Linked DNA regions of Pelodiscus sinensis. The protein of the gene in region 1 purifies or fractionates together with the protein of each later gene. This does not show direct contact. Links are inferred from orthologs where the notes say so. Each region holds a gene or a part of one and is shown in the gene's direction. Other genes may lie near its edges.

What was found.
Region 2: the proteins of CDC37 (region 1) and FER purify together in Homo sapiens (affinity purification with mass spectrometry; 3 studies listed by BioGRID and IntAct, with this or other methods). This does not show direct contact. The link is inferred for Pelodiscus sinensis from reciprocal best matches to the Homo sapiens genes CDC37 and FER.

What each region holds. Positions count from the first base shown.
Region 1 is NW_027465991.1:191,988-195,732, reverse strand, and holds the start of CDC37 (hsp90 co-chaperone Cdc37), read left to right. Parts: upstream 1-847; 5' UTR 848-905; coding exon 906-1,007; intron 1,008-3,745. UniProt on the Homo sapiens protein: Co-chaperone that binds to numerous kinases and promotes their interaction with the Hsp90 complex, resulting in stabilization and promotion of their activity. Inhibits HSP90AA1 ATPase activity.
Region 2 is NC_134716.1:63,688,319-63,692,063, reverse strand, and holds the start of FER (tyrosine-protein kinase Fer), read left to right. Parts: upstream 1-1,031; 5' UTR 1,032-1,155; intron 1,156-1,224; exon of another isoform or gene 1,225-2,050; intron 2,051-3,745. UniProt on the Homo sapiens protein: Tyrosine-protein kinase that acts downstream of cell surface receptors for growth factors and plays a role in the regulation of the actin cytoskeleton, microtubule assembly, lamellipodia formation, cell adhesion, cell migration and chemotaxis.

The sequences.
Region 1 (3,745 bases):
GAGCTGGCATAAGCTGGCTCATGGCATTCACCCGCTCCCAAGGAGCCAGCTATGCTGTGGGCTGTGCAGTGTAAGCTGTATACTGAGCTATACCATTTTTTTACGTCCTGCTCCGGACCAGTGTTCCCAGTTAGCTGAGCGCTTGGGTGGCCACCCAGAAGAGATTCCAATGCCATCCAGCCGATTAGCAGGGCACCCACTCGTGGTGCACAGAGCGGACGCTGTGCAGACGGCACGCGCTGGGGCGAGGCGTGTTCCCTTTCTCAGGATTTGCTGGGGAGTCTGGCCCCGTCTGCAGCCCCCAGTGATCGGAACACGGGGACTCTCAGCCGACTCGCGCTGGGTTGTGGGGAGAGCCCTGAAAACACAAACCCCTTCAGGGACCACAAACGTGCGAACAGCCCCCAGCTAGTGAGCGTGAGAACAGCACGAGCGGGGCACCAGCGGGTGCACGGTGCAGCTCCCCAGCCGTGCGTGGCCCTGCTGTTTTGTGGGTACCCGGTACCGCCTCTGCGGGGCACGTGGGGGCCAGGCCGGTGCCCACGGGGCGTGTAACCCTGGGCGTGCCCCTCCCACACCGCGTGCGCGCGCAGCAGGTAGGGCGCCTGCAACCCGCTGACCCCTGAAGACACAGGCCGTGTGTGGCCCTTTAAGAGAAGCGCCATTTGGAGCACAGAAGGGGGAGCGCATGCGCAGTAAACGGCCTCTGGACCAGAATTCGCGCCCCCGTGCCCCTGCCGCTGAACGTGTGGAGCCGCCAGCCGCTGCTGCGCATGCGTATCCGGGGCGTGGGCGCGCACGCGCAGCTGCGCGTACGAAGCCTTCCCGCCGACGGGCGCCGGAAGTGAGTCAGGGCGAGGGCGGAAGTGGGCGTGCGGAGGCTGGAGGGTTCCAGAAGTGGCGCCATGGTGGATTACAGCGTCTGGGACCACATCGAGGTGTCGGACGATGAGGACGAGACTCACCCCAACATCGACACGGCCAGCCTCTTCCGCTGGCGCCACCAGGTGCGGCCCCGCCCCGGGGAGCCCCCCGTTCCCATGGCGACCGGCCCCGCCCCTGGGGAGCCCCCCCGTTCCCATGGCGACCGGCCCCGCCCCGGGGAGCCCCCCCGTTCCCATGGCGACCGGCCCCGCCCCTGGGGAGCCCCCCGTTCCCATGGCGACCGGGCCCCGCCCCTGGGGAGCCCCCCCGTTCCCATGGCGACCGGGCCCCGCCCCTGGGGAGCCCCCCCGTTCCCATGGCGACCGGGCCCCGCCCCTGGGGAGCCCCCCAGGCCCCTCCAGCCAGGGTGCGATGGGGGCAAACTGGCTCGTGCGAGTCTCTGCTTGAGGCCCCGGGGCTGCGGGGGGAGGAGCTTGGGGGGGGGGGCTCGCACAGGCCCGCGGGCCCCGGGCTCCACGTGCTGCCCCCCCCCCGTGGTGCCCAGAGGATGCTGCCCGGGGGGTCCCTTGGCTTCAGCGAGCCCAGGCCTTTCGTAGAGCCCCCAGCGGGAGGCGCCGGCCCCAGCAGTCCCCAGCCCGGGGCAGGCTCTGCTCCTGGGTGGACTGCGTTGGAGGCAGCCCCCCCCTTCCGACTGAGGCCTGGCTCCCCTCCCATCCCAATGGCACCCTGGCTCCCAACCCACTGTCTTTGGGCTCTTCCCGTGGGGAGCCTGCACTAGTGGGGCTGGGCCCCCAGGACGTCTAACTCTCGGGGTCCCTCACCTGATTGCAGAGGCGTGTTGAGAGAGGGGAGCACTGACATATCGTCTCTCCTTAGAGTCCCTTCTCAATACCCTCTGGGTTGGTGCCCTCTCCCCGCAGCCCTGCCTCCAGCGGGGCAGAGGAGGCGTCCCACTTTCACCCCTACGATGCTGGAGGAGAGGGCTCATGGGAAAGCTGGGTCTGACCCTGAGCGGCATCAAGCCAGGAGCAGCCTCCCTCCAAGTCAGGAATGGGCAGCAATAGCAAATGGACTTGGGTGCCAATGAATCGGTTCTCTGATCTCTCCAGCCTAGTGAGTGGCTCTCCCAGGTGGGGCTCCTCTAGGCCTGAGACCCCTGGGACATGCCACGGTTCTGTCAGATCAGGCCTAGCGATGTGAAATATCAGTTCATTGAATAGTCAGTTAACCTCATGAATTCTTATTGGTTACTCGACTATTTGATAGTCCCCCGGGGGGGGATACTGCGCTCCAGGCCTGCTCCCGAGGAGCCTCCGGTCACTCCACGCTGCTGCTTCTGTATCAGGTAGATCTTCTGTGTGGGAGCAGACACTCCTACAGGAGTTGAGGGTGTTCAGTAAGGGAGGCGATCCCCCTGGAAACTTGTCTTCGCAGGTACTCAGAGGGTTTTTTCTCCTTAAGCAGGCATCCTGCATAGTACGTATAGGGGACTTCAATATGGGGACTTCAGTACCTGAAAAATATTCTGGAGCAAATGACAAAACAGTATCTCTAGAGGATGCCTGGGTCAGAGGGAGGAGCCGGTGGTTTTGTTGACAATAGATCCTGCCAAATAACCTATTTCCCTTGTTGACAGATGCTGGCTTAGGGCAGAGGGGAGCGGTACAGGGTTTGACACAGGCAGTCTAGATAAAATCACCACAAGATAACTGGTTGACGGTGGCCCTCAAAGAGTAGTCAGTGGTTTGCTGTCAAACTGGGGGTACTATCTAGCAGGGTCCTGAGGCAAGCCTGTTCCATAGTTTCATTAACGACTTGGATAATGAGCATAGACTGCCCTTATAGCATCCAGCCCAGAGGGGTTGCCGGCACTGTGGATGGCCGTTGGAATTCAAAACAACCTTGACACGTAGAGAATGGAGAGAGACTCAACAGAGGAAGTGGACTAAGGAGAAGTGCGAAGTGCTGAATTTAGGCAGGAGCTGGGAAGTGCCCAGCACAAAACAGACCAGCTGGCTGGGTGGGGGTAATGGAGGGAGCATGTGGGCATTAGAGCGGATGACGAATTGAATATGAACCAACAATGTGATCAGTTGCCAAAAGGGCTGGTATCGGGCTGGGGTGTGTTAACAGGAGCTTTACTTATGTAGCTGTCCTGCTTTCCGTGACGCTGCGGAAGCCTCGGTTGGAGTCCTGTGTCCGTTTCTGGGTGTGACCCCTCAGGAAAGTTGGCGAGAGTTCAGAGGAGGAGGGTCAGAAAACCTGACCTCTGAGGGGAGATTGCAAACCCTGTGCATGTTTAGTCTTGATAAAAGACAACTGGGGGTGGGGGGGGGGTTGATAATAGTCGTACAAGCTGTTAAGGGCCGGTGGATCTGTTCGCTGTGCCCACTGAAAGCAGGGCAAGCAGCAAGGGACTTAATCTACAGCCAGGGAGTTTGTCTGGAGTCGAGTTTTTTTTTTCCTCATATTAAAGTGCCATTAAGCTCTGGACTAGGCTCCCCAAGGGCACGTGGATGCCTCCGTCGGAGGGGTTATGAGCAGATGGCCACGTGCCTGTCAGGGATAGTGTAGGGTTACTTGGTCTTGCCTCAGCACAAGGGCCTGGACTTGGCAAGCTCCCTTGCAGCCTGACATAGCTGTGATTTTTGTTATCGGACGCTCTGTGATTCTCCAGTGAAGGGCGGATTTATAGCCCTTTAGTACAGAGACAGACGCTGGGGCGCAGAGCAGGGAGGGAGCTGCCTGAGGAGATGCTGCTGCCTGGCTGCACTGACCTAAAGTCAGGAGTCGGGAATGTGAATCCTAGAGGAAACCCCAGGGCTTGCTGCCCTCAGGTGCGACCCCAGGAAGCTATCTG
Region 2 (3,745 bases), on another chromosome or scaffold:
GCTTGTGCAGGCTGCAGCAATTGCCAAGCCAATGAGTAGGCAGGATGGTTCAGACCTGGCTCTGGCTGGGTCTCAGGGGCTCATCCCACTGTGGCTCTGCACTAATAACTTCATTGCAAAGCTGCAGCTGGTGGTAGCTCCCAGGATCTGGCACCAGCTAGCACTGAACTTGGCTGCCTGCCTGCTGGCTCCCTAATGACTTCTCATGAAGAGCCACTGTGGGGGTAGCTCCAGGAACTTGGCAGGAACTGGGAGTGAGCCAGGCTGCTGGCCAACCCTTTGAAACATGTACTGGCACAGCTGAAGGAGGTGGTGTGGGGGGGAAGTACGTGTAGTCAGTAACATTGGTCAATAAGCTTTCACTTATTTGTTTATCGTTTAACCGACTGCGATTCCATCCCCTCCTATATACAACAGCTGTGTCAGTCTGCCACGTGCCACAGGACTACACGTTGCTTTGCAAGTTCCAGACTAACAGGGCTACTCCTCCCAGTCTTTTTAACCCTCTTGACACTTTTTCTGAACACACGGAAAAAGAACACCACGGGCAAGGCAAACACATGAAATCCCCCGACTCTTTGCAGCCCCAGCAGCGATCTCCGCCTTCCGGGGCAGGCCCGAGACACCTGGAGAGGCAGCTGCTCGCCTAAGGGCACCTAGACACTGCTCCTGCTGGGAAACACTTCCAGGGGGACACCCCACAAAGCAACTCGGTCCCACCAGCCATAACAGCATCCGCCCGCATTGCCCGGCCGGCGGGGGAGAGCCAAAGCCGGGCTCAAGCGCATAATCGCGCAGGGCGGGACTAGAACCCAGATCCCCACCGCGAACTAACCCCTAGGCCCGGCAGGGATGATCAGCGTTTACAGCAGGCAGCGCAAAAAAAAGGGAGCCACGCCCTCCCCACGTCTTCCAGTGCCCCGCCCATGAGTCTCCTCTGCCAATCGCCTGGCTTCATTTTAGGAGCAGAGGCGGGAACTGTAGATCATTCCGCTCTCCGGAATTGGTTGCTGGAACGAGAGTGTTACGCGGGGGCGGGGTCCATGTGGATTGGCTGTCGGGTGGCGAGAGTTCCGCGCTGATTGGTTGGCAACACTCACGGGACGCTGGCGGGGCTGTGACGTCACTTTGTGGTGGAGCGGCTCGGCTTGTCAGGTAGGTAGGTGCCGCGCGCGGCGCGGTGCAGCGGTCCCGTGGCCCGGCAGCGGGGCCCGGGCGGGCAGCGGGCCGGCGCGGGGACAGCAGAGGCGGCTTCTGTCCCCGCCGAGGCCGCGGCTGGGAGGCTGCTGCGGGGCAGGGCGGGGGGCGGCTAGGCCCAGCTCGCTGAGTTACTTGCAGCTGGGCAGGGCGGGGGCAGCCGGCTCCGCTGCCTCGTAGGGCGCCCGCCTGCCCCCGGTGTCGCTTGTCAGCCCGAGTCCAGCGAGCGACACCCCGCCCGGCTGCTCCCGGCTCCAGGCGCGCGGGGCGCCCCGCCCTCTCCGGCTTCATCAGTGTCGCCCCCACCCCTGAGCTGCGGCGGGAGGGTGCGGGCGTCGCTGCGCGCTGGCCGAGGGTGGGCTCCTGGCGTGCTTGGGGCTTTGCTCCAGCCCGCGCCTCGGCGCTTCCCTCCGCAGCTCCTCGCTGCCTCGCGATCCCCCCACGCACACCTAGATGTGGCGCTCCTGTGCCCTTTGCTGTCCTCTCGTTGTGTTCCTTCTGCTAGGTTGCTGCACCTCGGCCGGTCAGGCTGTGCCCTTTGTCACAAGGAGTAGGGGCTCTGTGGGTGTGCAGAGCCAGGCCCTAGCACAATGGGACTTCTTTTGTAATTAGTTTTCGGAATTGTTTTAATAAATGGTAGCAATAAGCATAAGATTCTGATAGGGCCAGGATAAGCATGAATGGGCTCCAGAAAGTGCTTTGCAAGGGAAAAGCTGGACCCTACTTATTTTTTTTATCTTGGGCTCCAAACTGCTACTATCAAAATAGAGCACAAATTTAGCTGCTCCTAACCATAAACTTCAGAGGACCACTTAAAAATTGGTGGGATGCTGTTGGGTTTTGATGCCTCAAGGTACACATTTTTCACTTGTACACTTATTCTGTTGGAAAAAATAACTCTAACTATACAAACACTATGATGGGAGCTAATTTATCTACAACTAATCAGGAAAGAGATCTTGGAGTCATTTTGGATAGTTTTCTGAAAATGTCCACATAGTGTGCAGAGGCCAGTGTGCAGCGGCAGTCAAAAAAGCAAACGGGATGTTATGAATCATTAAAAAGGGATAGAGAATAAGACAGAGAATATCTTATTGCCTTGATATAAATCCATGGTACGCCCACATCTTGAGTACTGTGTATAGGTATGGCCTTCTCATCTCAAAAAAGATACACTGGCATTAAAACAGGTTCAGAGAAGGACAACTAAAATGATTAGGGGTTTGGAATGGTTCCCATATGAGGAGAGATGAAAGACACAAGGGGTATGTATACACTACAGCACTAATTCGAACTAACTTAATTTGAATTAGTTAATTTGAACTAAGCTAATTCGAACTACTGCATCTAGACCTTAAAACTAGTTCGAATTAGCATTTTGCCAATTCGAACTAGCATGTCCACATTGAGTGGACCCTGAACCAGGGTTAAGGATGGCCGGAAGCAGTGCCGGCAGGGCATCAGGTTAGGACTCAGGAATGTCTCAGGCTAGCCGAGGGCTGTGCTTAAAGGGACCCAACCCCCACCCTGGACAGACAGTTCTCAGGGGTTCCCCGCTTGCTTGTCTAACTCGATGAGGGACAGCAAAGCAGTCCTGGCTTGGAGTGCCCTGAGTACCCACGCTCGGCACATCACAGCACTCGGCCATCAGCCCAGCTGCACTTGCCGCAGGCTGCCATCCAGGGAGGAGGGTCAAGCGGGGGGCTGCAGGAGAGCTTCCACTCTGAGGAGCCTGCAGAGCCACCCCAGTCCTCTCCATCGGGGGCTTGTACCCCATTCCTCCCTCACCTCCTTCCACTTACCCCTCCCTAGCCCCCCTTCCTGATGTACAAAATAAAGGACACGTGTGTTCAAAAATAGAAACTCTCTTTATTGAACAGAACTCGGGGAGACTGGGAAAAGGAGGTGGGAGAGGGGAAGAGAGAGGGTGGGAGAGGGGAGGGCAACTAAAATGATCAGGGGTTTGGAACAGGTCCCATATGAAGAGAGGCTAAAGAAACTGGGACTTTTCAGCTTAGAAAAGAGGAGACTGAGGGGGGATATGATAGAGGTCTATAAAAGCATGAGTGGTGTGGAAAGGGTGCATAAAGAAAAGTTCTTCATTAGTTCCCATAATAGAAAGACTAGAGGACACCAAATGAAATGAATGGGTAGCAGGCTTCAAACTAATAAGCGAAAGTTCTTCACAAAGCAAATAGTAAACCTGTGGAACTCCTTACTGCAGGAGGCTGTGAAGGCTAGAACTATAACAGAATTTAAAGAGAAGTGAGATAAAGTCATGGAGGTTGGGTCCATGGAGTGCTATTAGCCAGGGGGTAGAAATGGTGTCCCTGGCCTCTGTTTGTGGAAGACTGGAGATGGATGGCATGAGACAAATGGCTTGGTCATTGTCTTCGGTCCATCTCCTCCAGGGTTCCTAGTGCTGGCCGCTGTCGGCAGACAGGCTACTGGGCTAGATGGACCTTTGCTCTGACCCAGTACGGCCATTCTAAGCTCAGGGCTCAGGGTCGGGGGTCTCACTGGACCACCTTGATTTTCATGCAAACCT